2 linked regions of the Oryctolagus cuniculus genome follow. The protein of the gene in region 2 binds, or shares a complex with, the protein of the main gene of each other region. Links are inferred from orthologs where the notes say so. Each region holds a gene or a part of one and is shown on either strand. Other genes may lie near its edges.

What was found. The genes of interacting proteins can lie anywhere in the genome.
Region 1: the proteins of DLC1 (region 2) and TNS2 are in contact, whole or in part, in an NMR structure (PDB 2LOZ), measured with the Homo sapiens proteins. The link is inferred for Oryctolagus cuniculus from reciprocal best matches to the Homo sapiens genes DLC1 and TNS2. Residues at the interface, in NP_001335010.1 of Homo sapiens: Glu811, Asp812, His813, Lys814, Pro815, Gly816, Thr817, Phe818, Pro819, Ala821, Leu822, Thr823, Asn824; in NP_736610.2 of Homo sapiens: Asp1268, Leu1269, Leu1270, Arg1271, Gln1272, Gly1273, Ala1274, Ala1275, Cys1276, Lys1317, Ser1319, Ala1320, Gln1321, Thr1324, Leu1387, Asp1388, Pro1389, Asp1390, Gln1391, Val1403, Leu1404, Leu1405, Gly1406.

The regions. Positions count from the first base shown.
Region 1 is NC_091442.1:56,121,795-56,128,600, reverse strand, and holds the end of TNS2 (tensin-2), read right to left. Parts: coding exon 6,065-6,806; intron 5,956-6,064; coding exon 5,805-5,955; intron 5,730-5,804; coding exon 5,146-5,729; intron 5,054-5,145; coding exon 4,964-5,053; intron 4,635-4,963; coding exon 4,509-4,634; intron 4,335-4,508; coding exon 4,242-4,334; intron 4,149-4,241; coding exon 4,071-4,148; intron 3,939-4,070; coding exon 3,861-3,938; intron 3,507-3,860; coding exon 3,338-3,506; intron 3,259-3,337; coding exon 3,190-3,258; intron 3,087-3,189; coding exon 3,057-3,086; intron 2,912-3,056; coding exon 2,773-2,911; 3' UTR 2,313-2,772; downstream 1-2,312. Other genes in the region: SPRYD3 (SPRY domain-containing protein 3), read left to right, coding at 259-378, 466-638, 895-1,002, 1,586-1,786. UniProt on the Homo sapiens protein: Tyrosine-protein phosphatase which regulates cell motility, proliferation and muscle-response to insulin. Phosphatase activity is mediated by binding to phosphatidylinositol-3,4,5-triphosphate (PtdIns(3,4,5)P3) via the SH2 domain.
Region 2 is NC_091433.1:77,297,959-77,305,410, reverse strand, and holds part of DLC1 (rho GTPase-activating protein 7), read right to left. Parts: intron 2,849-7,452; 5' UTR 2,742-2,848; coding exon 1,704-2,741; intron 1-1,703. UniProt on the Homo sapiens protein: Functions as a GTPase-activating protein for the small GTPases RHOA, RHOB, RHOC and CDC42, terminating their downstream signaling.

The DNA.
Region 1 (6,806 bases), on a different chromosome or scaffold from region 2:
CTGTTGGGTGCCTTCAGGGCTTCCGCCTCTCCCTCCCCTCTCTGCCAGCAGCTCCCCAGCAGGTTTCCCCTTGTGCTGAGGGACCTCGTGTCCCTGCTCTTGTCACTGGGCGCCCCCTCCCCACGTCTGTCTCCATCCTCGTTTCCTGTTGGGTGCTCCCTTCCACTGAGCCCGCACCGTGGGTGGGGAGGTGACCGCTGCCAGTCGGGGTGGCTCTGGGCTCCCTCAAGCACAGGTCTTGTCCTCTCCCTGTGACAGATGACGGGAAGATCTTCCATGGCAGTGGCATGGGGGACCCCTTCGGGCCACGCTGTTACAAGGGGGACATCATGGGCTGTGGCATCATGTTCCCCCGGGACTACATCCTGGACAGTGAAGGTCAGTGGGGTGCGGCGGGGCGGGGTGGCCAGTGGCTGCCAGTGGCTGCCCAGCATGAACGGGAGCTGAGGTTTCCTGGTTTCCCAGGGGACAGTGATGACAGCTGTGACACAGTGATTCTGTCTCCAACTGCCCGGGCTGTCCGGAACGTCCGGAACGTCATGTACCTGCACCAGGAAGGGGAGGAGGAAGAGGAGGAAGAGGAAGAGGAAGACGATGGGGAAGAGATAGAGCAAGAGCATGAGGGCAAGAAGGTGGTGGTGAGTGGGGGAGGCTGTGGCGCGGGGCTGGGCAGGGTGGGAGAAGGAGGGTCTGCGTGCTCCATCTGCTGAGGTGGGGGGGCCGAGGTTTTCCAGCCCTGGACGCCCTCTTGTGGCCTCTGCTCTTACTACCCTCTGTGCCTCGGCAAGGCCGTGCTGGGTTGTAGGAAGTGGTTGGAGCTCAGGACTGTGTAGCTCCAACACCAGAAGAGGCCATAGCCCGCCTCCTCCATTCTTCCCCCACCTCCACCCCCAGGTCTTCTTCACCCGGAATGGCAAGATCATTGGCAAGAAGGATGCTGTGGTGCCGTCGGGAGGCTTCTTCCCCACAATTGGGATGCTAAGCTGTGGGGAGAAGGTCAAGGTAGACCTGCACCCCTTGAGCGGCTAGGCCCTCTCCCTCTACTCACTCTGCGGGGCCGGGCACCTAAGGGTTTGCTCGCCCACCAGGCCCCGGGCCGCTGCAGGGTCTGTCTGCCCTTACCAGTGCAGGCCCCTGTCCAGCTCCTCTGCCCACGTTTCTGACCTGGTGCCTCCCTTATTGTCAGTCCCTGTCCTGAGTCCCTGGTTGGCCAGGAATGGGCCCAAAGAATGGTGTTGCTGTAGGAGGGGTCCCACCTGCTTGGGTCCCCTTTCCCTCACTGGCCCCATGGGAATGAGCGGGCGGGTGCCCAGTCTCAGCTGCTATGTGGGCGTGGCACTTTGCAGCGGGTGGAGCAGAAGCCCCGCCCCCGACTCGCCATGGTGTTTCTCGAAGAATTCTCTGTTCTGTTTTCTGTCCTCATCATGTGGACCAGCTGCTGCTGTCACCCCCCTGGCTGGGCTGGGGGGGGGCCTCTTGGGCCACCTTGCTCCTTTCATTGGCTACTGCCCTGAGACTCCCCTTGGGTCTCCTCCGTTCTTTCCCCCAGAGAGCTGGCTTTCTCTCCCTTCCTCTTCCCGTTCAGGCACCGTGGGCCCGCACAGAGCCCGAGTCTCTGCCCCCCCACCTGCATACACACAGATGGTCACCCATCCCACATCTCAGAGGGAGGGGCCAGGGGGCCCTCAACATCTTCTCCTCACCCGGGGCACCCTCGGCCCCAGCTCCCTGGATGGTGCCTGAGGCTCTGGGCTCATCTCTCCGCGGGGTCAGGAGGAGACCCTAGGGCCCCTCAGCCCCATCCGCACCCGGCTCTGTCCCCATGCCCGCTTGCTGCTTGTGCCAGTTGCCTGTCTGCTTCAGTGTTTGATTCTAGCACTCACTTGTGTCCCCCAGCCTCAGAGCTCCTTCTGCCCCCTGGGCCCCTCCCTGTAACGTGACTTCTCCCTGGAGGAGGGCCTTGGGAGCCTCGGGCCTCGGTTTGCACAGAGTGGGTCGGGCTGTGGGGTGGTGGGGGAGCTGCCCCCTTGGCCCTGGTTTCAGGCCCTGCACTATGATGTGTGAAATGTATGTACAGACCAGAGATGTTTACACAGCCAGTAAAGATGGAGTTTCCATAGTCGTCCTTCACAGTGTGCAGGCCTAGAATGGCTGGAGGGAGGGGCAGCTGGGGCAGTGTGTCCGCAGGGCGGACGGGAACCCGTGGTAGCCAGGGCTAAGGAGCCTGTAGGAGGATGTTGCTGGGACTGGCCGTGGACGCACAGGCATGTCCCTGAGAGACCCTGGGAATAAGGCACGACTCCAGCTCCAACCAAAGTATATAGAAATTCTGTATTCTTAGACAAAAATAGACTCTCTTTTTCCCCGTTCCTGTGATCCCACTGTGGTGTCTGCTCAGAGGGGGCAGAGCGGGGAATGACTTGCCCCCACACTCCACCCTCTCCCTGCCGCGCTGGGCCCTGCAGCTGGGTGGAGCCGGCAGGGCCCGAGTCCCCTCCGGGGCTGGTGTCCTCCTGCAGCCGGGGCTGTCCTGCTCCCCGTCACACGCCCGTCTCTGCCATCTGCTCACGTGCAAGGTCATCTCGTGGGCCCATCCACTTAGCTTAGCAGGCTGGGGGGAGGGGGAGAGCAGGGTCCCAGGTGAAGGCCCACTCCCGGTTCCCAGGGGAGGGTGCTGGTTCCTGGGCCCCCTGGTCCAGGCCGGGGGAAGTGAGGGCTGCAGGATGCTGGGAGGGCGCAGTGTGCACGTGGGCGGGGCACGCGTGGCCTTCTTCACTTCCTCTGGCCCAGTAGAACTTTGGTGATGAAGGTGACGATGGCGCCTGCGGGCTGGTCTGGGTCCAGCTCTGCGAAGACGTGACACACATTCTCCCAGGGGCTTCCTGGCTTCTTGGCCACAAAACCAAAGATCCTGGTGGGGGAGGGGGCGAAGCCATGGTGGGAGGGGCATCAGCTTGCCCTCCATGAGGGAATGTAGCTGGCGGGGGTAGGGGTGGGGTCGTCTGGCTCCACTGCCAGCCTTGGGAAGGAGGGGACGGCGCCCAAGGAAGGCTTACTTGGAGGTGGTCCCGTCGGGGTTGGTCCATCTGCAAAGGAGGAGAACCATGAAGGAGCAGCGGGAGGGGGAGCTGGGGGTGGGGCCTGTGGGAGCACAAGGCAGTGGGGGGTTGGGTGTGGAGCGAGGGTCACCTCCGGTCCTGAGGGTCAGTGCTGGAGAACGTGATGCTATTCACCGGGTAATGGCGGCGAAAGAAGAGCCTGCAAGGGGGAGGGGCGCTAGTCACACAGGGACGCCAGGGCCCCCAGAGCCCCCAGGGGCACGGGCACATGGACTCACTTCCTCTGGTTGTCCGTCAGTGTGATGCCCTGGGCTGAAACCTTGAAGTGGACCACGGCTGGCGTTGGGCGTGGGCTGCAGCTCAGAGCTGCCGAGCTGGCCCGGGCCACAGCTTGGGGGCCCGTCAGTGACTCGGTGCCCACCGAGGTCAGGTAGAGCACGCTGCAGGCTGCAGGGGCACAGGCTGTGTCAGGGAGGGAGCGCTGACGCTGCCAGCCCCCAGCCAGCCCTGGCATTCTCCCCAGCTAGTGCTGTCAGGTCGCATTGTGATCACTTAGGCGACTTGTCAGAACGATTGCATGAAACCCTCAGATGTACAGGTCAGAAATGCTGAAAAGCGGCCTGGGGTTCTGTATGCTAACCAGGCCCCTCCCCTTGGTCTCCCCTGAGACTGGAGAGCCTTGACCCAGGCCCCCTTCACGGGTGAAGTGCACCTGCCACAGCTCATCTGCCTCAAAGCCTACCAGGCCCTGTACCTGCAGCAGCCCAGCGGTGCTCAGGGGGAGGGAACGGGGGTCTCTACCTGCGCCCTGACGCAGGAGGTCTGCCGCCGTGCTCATGTTGGTGGGCACTGGGACCTCTGGGGTCTCTTCTAGAGGATCTGGGAGGAAACGAGGGCCAACAGGGGAGGTGAGCAGGCAAACGTGTTCCCCGGGAACAGAGGGCTCTAGCAGCTTCCCCAGGGGAGGCTTCAGGGTGGGGGGCACCGGGGAGGGGGTCCGCAGACACCCACCTTTGCTGGGGATGCGCAGGCAGCAGGGCAGGGAGATGGGGGAGATGGAGTGCTGGGAGACCAGGGCGGAGAGGCTGCCTGTGGGCAGGAGGCGAGAAGAGTCCCCAAGGGCCCGGCACCCTCTTGCCAGCCCTTGGCCTCCCTAAGCCAGCCCTGGCCCCTGCATCTCACCGAAGTAGGGCTCAGTGGGACAGCCCTTGATCTTCACCCCTTTGGGCCCAGTCTCGATGAGGAAATGGCGGACCAGCTGTTCCAAGGGGTCCCCTGGGAGGAGAGACGAGAGGAAAGTGAGGCTGTAGCCACACATTCAGCATCCCCCACTTCTCCTGAGCAGCACAGCCCCATCTTCCTGTCCACCCACCACTCCCCGCCATTGCCTTGCCTCGGGCACAGCCCCTCCCCCCAAGCCCCCCCCCCCCCAGCTTCGGGCTTGTGTACCTTTCCAGGGCTGAGCGCTGGGTGGGGGGGTGGCCACCTTAAGGGCCAGCCCGTAAGCTCCTTGGAATGAATGACTGTCCCTGATCAGGAAGGCCCCAGGGTCCTTGTCCTTTAGCAGGGCGATGGCTGCAGGCAGGAGGAGAGGCAGGGCTGGGTTTCCACAGCGGCTGGCTCAGCCCTGCGCCGGCCGCCAAACTCCTCTGCTAGCGGGCGGGCACCCAGGCCTATCTTGCCCGGACTGCAGCCCAGTGGGCTGCCGGGAGTCTGGGGATGGAACTTGAGAGTGTTTGCAGGGTTTTGGATGATGTTGAGTCTTAACTTCCTTGGGTCCAAATCCCAGAATCACCGGCTCTGGAGCCAGGAGCAGGAGCCCAGGCATGGCCAGCTAGAATGGTTCTGAGAACCCAAGACAGAAACCCCGGCGGTGGGGTGGGAGGGGCAGGCTGGCGGCTCACCTTGGTCACGGGACAGGTGTGGCTTGTACCAGAACTTGGATGTGTCCTGGACGAACTTGACGTTGCTTTGGCTCTCCTGCATTGGTGGCTCTAGACCAGGGAGGCACTGGAGTTAGACCCCAGGGCTCCCTTCTCTGGGGGAAAGTTCTGGAGGAGGCCCCACCCTCTGGAGGCCTTGGTACCTGGGGGTTGAGGGGCACTGTCCGGGAGCAGGGGTGCGAAAGTGACATGGTGACTGGTGCCCCTGGCTGGCGGCGACGCCTGCTCTAGGCCCCAGGGTCCTGGCTGCTGCCCAGGCCCTGGCACATGGCGTTTCTCAGGAAGCGGGGGCTGGGTGGAGCTGCTGGTGTCATAGGATGCAGCCAGGGGGAAGGCAGGCGTGGGTGAGCTCTGGGGTGGCTCTGGGCTGGCCACAAGCCAGGGCATCTGGGTAGGCACAGGGGTGAGGGGGGACCCATCTGGGCTGTCTGGGGGACCTCGAGGGCCCTGCCAGGTGGCGTGGCGGAGGCCGGGCAGCGTAGTGGGCACAGGGCCCCGAGGACTGGCACCGGCCGCATGGCTCCCTGGGCTCCTCTCCTGAGGCCAGTTGCTGGGTGAGCTGGGCGGGGAGGCCGCTGTGAAGGGGCTTGGGGCCAGAGGCTCAGGCCCACTTCTCGCTGGCATCTCAGCAGCCTTGTCAGCACCTCCCTGGGAAACGGGGGGCTCGCCAGGACTCAGTCTCTGCGCGGGTGCCGAGGTGGGGGACCTGGCGTCCTGTCGCCGGGTGCTGTGGGGAGAAAGGCAGCCGGTGAGCTGAGCGCCCTCCAAGCCTGTCTGGGCAGCCCCGGCCCCCGCTGCCTACCTCTCCTTGCCCTGCACCGGGCTGCTGGTATGCAGGGGCGTGGAGGGACCAGATAGCTCTGAAGACGCGCTGCACTGGGGATCCTGGGGGGACGGCGGCAGTGTGCTGTGCCCGCTGGGGCCCTCCCTCCAGGACGTGGGCTCAGGCGACTCTGCCAAGGGCATTGGGTGGCCGTGAGCAGGAAGGGCATTCTAGTCTGGCATAGTATTTTTCTCACTGCCTTCCCAGACCCCAGCACTACCCACCCCAGCGCCCCTCACCTGCAGATGCCAAGGGTCCTGTTGAAGCCAAGTGTCCAGGCAGTGGGTACTTGTCCCCTCCCTCCTCTACGGGGATCTCATAGCTCAGCTTCCTGGACTGTGGGTAGGGTGGGCTGCCCGGTGAAATGGAGCCGGCCCTTGGGGAGTGGGTACCCGGGCTGGAATACCCTCTGGCCTCTCCTGGAGGCTCACAGCTGTGAGGCACCCGCCCGTAGGCTGGGCAGTAGCTGGGAACTGCGCCTCCGTAGCCGTAGGTCACCAGGGCGGGGTACCCGGGATGGCCGTAGCGACCCTCGGGGCACACAGCGTAGGAGCAGCCCTCATGTCCTTCCTCACTTGCCTTGGGTGGCTTCAGGCAGCTGTAGTCGGGCATCAGGGCATGGTGGTGGTGGCCGCATGCGGGTACCAGCAGGGGCAGCGGGTGCCCGGGCCGCACTGGGTGCAGGAGGGGCTTCCCTGCCTCGCTCGCCCACCCCTCGCCAGCTTCCCTCTCCAGCCGCAGTCCGTACAGGGCCGCCGTGGGCAGCGCCACCTTCTCCTCACAGGCCGGGCAGGTGCAGAGGGCGGGCAGCCCGGGGTCCTCCAGGATGACCACTTCCCGGTAGCCTGGGGCGCGGTAGCCGAATTCACCGGGGGCCGCTTTCCCCAGCTCGGCGGTGGCGTAGGGGTACGGACCCTCGGACAGCGAGCGGCACAGGCGCCGCTTCTCCACTGCGGCTTCCGCGTAGCCCTGGGCCGGCCC
Region 2 (7,452 bases):
TAATTCTAGGCGCTTCTCTCATAACTATACTTTTCCACAGTAAAATTTGATCTTAAAATTTGCATTTTTATTCATTACAAGGCATCCTAAATGGGTTGTAGAATCAAAGTAAATATTCCACCAGACAATGCCACAACATTTTAGCATGATGAAATGCTTAAAATAGAATTATTTAAGTTAGAACTTGTAAATGAGCTATAATTATAGCTCTCAAAATGCAACCATGCTAAAGTGACATGTCCAAGAGCAAATTCTTTCCAGCATTCTTAGTATTGATATAAATGTCCAAGTGGTGAGCATATGTTTTGGGAATGTTTAATGTTTCTGTCGGCAGTTGGGAAAAATTTGTCTTACTTTAGGGAAGCCATGTCATAGGTCAGTTAATGCTTTCTTATGTCATTATTGCATTCTCTCCAACAGATTTGATAGGATACATGGAAATTTTAGGAAATTAATGACCTGAACATTTTAATCATAACAACTTTATGGAGTATTAATGTTTTTATACAATTCATGCAAGGAAGGGAGAGTTTTCCAGAAGTGTGAAATGCTTGTACGGCATACAGTCTGAGTACACTGAATTTTGCCCTAAGTCCTTGACTTCACTTATACTAACTTCATGTCATGTTACTGATCTAGTTTGTAATCAAAACCAGTTTATGGAAACCAGATTTCTTCAACACAAAGAGAGTCCAGGACTTCTTTTATTGTAGATAGATAGCCCCAGTGGAAGAAAATTAACAACATTAGCTTTGTTGAAAGAATTGCAATTATGCACTAACATTATATCAAGAGAAGCTCAAGGAAGTGTTTTAATTGTTGCATAAAAATGTACAATCTGCAGGGCTTCTTCAATGCCAATGGCTATATGGGATTTATAGGAGAAGAAATTGTGCTTGGATTTATATCAGAATTATAGAGCACTATAATGTTGGAAGAATTTGGGGAAAATCATAAAGATAAGACAAGTTTTGGCCAGGAGTTTGCTAGTCAAGCCATGATTCATGTAACCTCATTCTAGCCCTTGCTTCTGTCACTTGGGAATTTCTTAGGGGATGATGGCATCTCCAGAATTTGTCAAAGGGACCTTGACATAGAAAAATAACTTCAGTTATAGGCATTTTTTGGGTCAAGAGTTAAAGAAAAGTTGTGGCAAGGAATGGAGACCATGATATACTGTGGACAATGAACTGCCAAGGTATCATTAAAATGACATCAGCACATTTTGGGAGAGGGAGTACTGTTGTCTTCATGTACATAAAGGGGTTATTTTTAACATGTGATTTATACCACATTTATTAGGATAAAATTTACTTTTTGGAGGAAAAAGGAATAGGCCCTAAACAACTTTCTTTTTCAAAATTAGCTATCATTCTTCAGATAGTCTTGAACTACAGAATTATGAATGAGTGGTGACTATTCAGTTTCAGTGAGAATGATATCAACCTTCTTTCTTCAACACAATTCCACAATACAATGTTTGAAAACCATTATAAATGTTATTGGTATAGTGGATCAATTATCATATTTTAATTTTTACATATTTTGATGGTTTCATCAAACAGATAATTTGTGAATTATGCAGTCATGTTACAGGGCAAAAGAAACCTCTACATATCACTTTAATCCAAGTAAAAGAGTAAGTGATGACAACAAGGATAGGTCCACAATTTCAGAAGGCAGATAATCTGCATGCAGCTTACCTTTCTCTTGCGAAGTCTGACTTGGCTATCTGTGGGTTCCTGGGTGGCCAGAGGCTCCTGTAAGTGTAAACACTGCATGCCATCTTCTGCGTTGACCTTTGGAGGACTTCTGTTTTGATATTCTGAGAAACCACTCTTTTCCAGGCCATTTTCAGTTGACATTCCACTGGCGCAGAAAGGAGGCTGTAGAAGGCAGCTTCCAAAATCTGCTTTTGATAATGGAGGCTCTCTGTCTGTGCAAGGAATAGCCAAGAACTCATTGTGACCTACATTGCAGGTGTTTCTTTCATTTTCATCTTTAGGGAAATCAGGTTTTCTTCGTTGCTGAGCAATTACAGCAGAATTAAGCAGTTGCTTCTCAGGCACAATAACTTTCACATTCAAAGAATCTAATGTATTTACTTTGGGTGCATCTTGAATTTCATGTAAGCTTATATCATTACAAAGCTCCAGGCTTTTACTTATAATGTCAACAACTTTCCTCTCTCCACTTTCTTCTACCAGTGCTAAATCAGCTTTGCCAGCCATTCTCCAGGAAGTATAAAAATCTTGGTTATTTTCCATGATAGGCAATGTCTTTACCAAGGAGCCTGCTCCTTCAATGCTATGTTGGTCTGATGTTTTATGCCCTTGGGTAGTTAAAATCTTATCATCGGTCAGTGATAGATCAGAATTGGTGTCCTCATCAGAAACATGCACTAATGTTTCTGTGCTGGCCTCCAGAGAGAGAAATGGATCTTCTCCTTCGGGGCTGTCATTTTCACCCACCTCCTTTGAAACGTGACCCATTGGTCTCCCAGGAAAATCTCTCAGCTCTGAACCATGACAGCAGTCCGGTAGTGAAACACACTTCTCTTTGAGGTCCACATTTAGAGTTGCATCTTTTTCCATACTTGCCTGCAATCTATCAGCTACTAGTCCATGATGACATGTTGTGTTACAATCATCAGAATTCAGAGGCTGTCCCATCCATTGGGTCACATGTTCTTCCCAGCTTCTTTTTCTGATAGCTACAGACATGTCATCATAGTTTAACATCAGACAGAGAGATACATTCCATATGAGCCTAAAAGAGACTGAACTTGGTGAAAGATTGTTTCAAATTCATGGATCGAAGTAGAGAGTGAGTTTTGTCATTTCATCACCTATTAAAAATTTTAAAAATATATAGTTAGAAATACATTTCTAAAGTCCAAACACATCTTTGAAAAGACAGTACTTAATCTGCACTATGAAAGTAGAGGTAAGAGAAGTTACAAAGCCTCTGTTGAATACCTTTAATAGTACTATTTTTAAAGAAGCAGCCTAGTATTAAGAGAAAAATTTACATTTAATAATTTTGGTCAAATTTAAAATGCCATTAAGAAGATATTTAGATTCAATACTTAACAAAAATTACTGGAAGAAATTTATTGCTGTAGCTTGCATGTTTTCCTGATTCACTTTTGTGAATACAAGTTGTTTAAGAAATCGATTTGCTATTTGGTTTGAATTGCACTGAAGGCCACCAGGGAGCTGCTCATGCATAACTTGAGCCACAGTGACAGCATATGTAATGTATTAGTGTGTGAAAGGACTAATATCAATCTCAAATGACCAGGATGTATTTACTCCAGGGAGTGATTAAGAAACATGGAATAATTCAGTTCAGTTCATCTTAACACATAATTTATGAATAAGAAAGTATCACACACACCATTTACAATGCTTTAGGAGAAATACATCTATTTACACATCCTAGTATTGCCTCCGCTAGACAGCAAGCTAGTATTGTTGAAGTTAGAGAAATTAAATGACTTGCTCAATATCATACATTTAGAAAGCTCAGATTCAAACTAGGCTCTTATTCTGTCTCAGGCCCCGGCAGCGAAAACACTTTTATATCTCCATGGACAGATGAGGTTATTCCTTCATCCTTTGCCTTTACATATCTTTAGTATGTGTAAACTCTAAACCCCTCACACAGGAATGCTAGGAAACCACAAAGAAGATGTGAGCTTAATAAGACAATTGGGACTATTCTGGAAATTTGAGTATCATTCTCTTTGGCATTTAAGGAGTTTAGTTTGTATCTTTCTGTTAGAATTCAGCTATAAAAATTTAAGTAAACATCAGAGTCATGCATAAGATAAGCTCAGAATAGAAATGCATTCCAGGTATCCGTCTCTTTTTGCCTTTAATCGTTCAAACCCTTAGTTAAATTGTACCAATGTAAATTCAGCTTATAAAACTGACTAACCCAAAAGTTGTTCCACAATGAAACTAAGTTACTGGACTTTAGAAGAAAAATGCCATTCAAGAGCAGACATTTTTAATTTTTTACTCCATGCAGAACTGTCAGCACATAACAGGGGCTGGATTACTGACTAGCCATAAACAAGATTAATTGCTGTGCTGGTTTTGGGTCACTTCAGTTTATAGAAAGGACTCTGCCCCCCCCCCCCCAATTTCAAGCTATTCTGACTAAGCATATATCTAAAAGGTGAATATTCCCACCCTGTAAAGACTGGTTGAAGTTAAGGAAGGTACTAGAATTTTGGTGCCATATCCTGACCAAAGATCTTTCTGGATACTATTTGGTTCCTTCAAAGGCCTGTGGCCATCTTTGAAAATGGTCAGCATTCACATTTTCCATGTTGGCATTCACTTTGCACTCAAAAGAAAATATAAAGTCTCTGAATTCCATGCATAAGTCATTATAGTGTGGGAGGCTACGGAAAAGGGAAAAAACGCATTGATTCAGGCCAGAAAATTTCTGCTTTCATGGGCAAATTTGGGTTGTAATAGGGCGGTTCTGTTTTAGATGCTTTCTTTTCTTTATTTTTATCCAGTGTAGAAAAAGCAGGCTAACTTAAGAAATGCCAAGTGGTATTACTCTGTCATTCCTAAGCCACATTTATGTTTAAGTTGAGCCTGAATTCTGGCTTCATTTCTTTTACTAAGGAGAAATATAGTTTTATTAACTCCTTGGGACAGATTCCACAAAAGTTTTTCCCTTAAGAGCCATGCTAGTATTAATTAACTTATTTCACTCATTTTTAACAAGTAGATAATTATTCCCATCACACCAAAAGAAGATAGTTCAACAAGCTCTGAGATGACCTAACTGAAAAGAGAGATTGTAAATTAGATTCAACACATCATTACTCTTTCTATCCTCATTTTCTGATGTAAGTTCTTCAGACATTTCCAAATCATTCCTGTGAATGTATGCTGTCTTTATTTTTAAGACACAAAATTTTCTAATTATCATTACGGACATCACTCATCATTAATTTTGAGACCCCATTCCATATCCTGCGGTCTAATAAATATATTTTTCAAAAATTCACCTCCACAAGATTTTCAACTATACTTTTTATTTAAATTTCAATTGGTAAGATTTATACTTCCATGATTTAAAGGCTGAACAGAATATTAATCCATAGAAGCATTAGATTATTCTCAATTGCATACTGGCCCAATATTCTAATTCATCTGAATTGGTTAGAATATGTCATGTAAGATAGAAGAGTTTTTATAAAAGACCCGACTCTCGCTATGAGTATTCCTCCAGGCTGCTTTATTTAAAATTACATTTCAAACTCCTGAGTACTTGTTTTGCAAATTTCTGTTAAATTTCTTTTGTAATCCTTTTCATGCAGTTTCATTCTGAATGAGCTCAGCTGCTGAGGATTTTCATGGAAGATCTGGAAAAGTATAGGTCATCCCAGGGTATTGATTTTATGAAGTGACTTTCCACGGTGATTTTTCATTTCTAAATGCAGGTATTCAACACCACTGTATTAATGTTACAACAGATTGTATGCACTTCTTAGTATGCAGAGATTCTGGAAAATATTTGTGAAATGTACACCAAGGAGGGGATCATCAGTTTTTTTCCCTCCCTTCCTTCTACCTTTCCTTCCACCCTTCCTTCCCTCCTTCTCTCCTTCCCTCCTTCCCTCCCTTCCTCCCTTCCTCTCTCCCTCCTTCTTGGTTTCCCTCTCTTCCCTCCCAGCCTATCAGTGAGTGGTTTGGGAACTGGTATACACATCAATCAGAGCATCCCAGAGGTGGAAATCCCTGAATTAGGGTTTCTGTGTTAAATATCCTGCATCAGCAACATGCAAGTTAAATGGGATTTGAGGTAGAGTTCCCTGTGAGATGGAAGTAGTTTTTCTTTATTTCTGGCTTTAGACTCTTAATATTCTGGAATCACTTCTTTGGGAAAGATAGCAGAGGCAATAATAAACTCAAGAGAATTACTTACAACTTGAAAACTTATTAACTATTTTGGAGGGGAAACACACTTTTCAAGAACATTTCAGAGAAAATTGAGAGGAACTTTCAAAGAAAATAAATTTCAGAAAATGTCCCAGGATTGAATGACCCAGATTTTTTAATGAAAAAGAACCTATGGAGTATGTAGTAGTACAAGAAAGAAAAATAGATCACATCAAGCAACACCATTATCAAGTTTCAGAACTTAAGAGGCAAGGAAATGATCCTGAATGTTACCAGAGGAAAAAAAGGAGGAATTGTCAAACAGAATGGCATCACATTACTTCACAGTGACAGTGGAAGTAAGATGTTGATCAAAAATGCCTCAAAGTTCTTATGGGAAATTATGTCTAACTTAAAATAATATCAATAGCTAAGATACAGAATCAGCTGCAATGTCCATCAACTGATAACTGGATAAAGAAAATGTGGGATACATACACTGTGGAATACTACTCAGCCATAAAAAATAATGAAGTCCTGTCTTTTGCACAAAATGGATACATCTGGAAACTATTATGCTTAAATAAGCCAGTCCCAAAAAGACAAATATCACATGCTTTCTCTTATATGTGGCAGTTAATATAGAATAAAAAATGTATGGGAATGAAATGGACACTTTGTGATATAATTGCTGTTTTTAGGCCTTGTCTACACTCCTGTGGAACTGTGATCTCCCTACTTGTTACTCATGGATTATTATGATTAGTAGCAAATTAAGCCTGTGAATAAGAGGGGATTAAAATTATATCCTAGCAAAAACTGATGAATAGAGGAGGGGGAGGGAGCGAAATTGAGGTGAAGCAGGGTTGTAAGGGAAATATGGTTGTTTTCTTGGAACTGTAACTATGGAATGCGTAAAATCTGTTTTCTTTGTATTAATAAAAATTTAAAGTCATGTGTGTATGTACAATAATTACATGTAAGTATATATGCAATTTTGTTTTTCTGACTCTCAAAGTTATTGGAAACATAATTCCATTCAAATGAGAGAATGAAAGACTAAATGAACTAAGTGAGAAAGACACGACAATAAGGAAGCCAGGAATTCAAACCAAATGACCAGGGACTAGAATTTCTAGGATATTTGGGTAGCAGATTTAGCATAAATCCTAAGGTTCTCTATGAGTGATATCTCTAAGGGATAAAAATGTAAATATAGATTATAGAAATATATGCTATTCCACTGAGAGAAATTTTATGGTAATTTTGTAAAATTTAGATGGAAGAATTAGTAATAGTTATATAGAAAACCCAGGAAACCAGTGATCAAGTCCAGGAAAAGCAGTTTTATAAGAAAAGAGATATAATCACAGTATACTACCTGGCTAAGGTGTGAAATTTTTTATGCTGTCTAAATAATACAGTTAATTCAGACTTAAGCAAATTTATGAAACAGCTATTTTTACAGCAGAGGGTTTTGTGCTGGGTGGGTCCAGGGATGACTGGTTGAATAGTTTCAGAGGTGTAGCTCCTCATTTTGGGT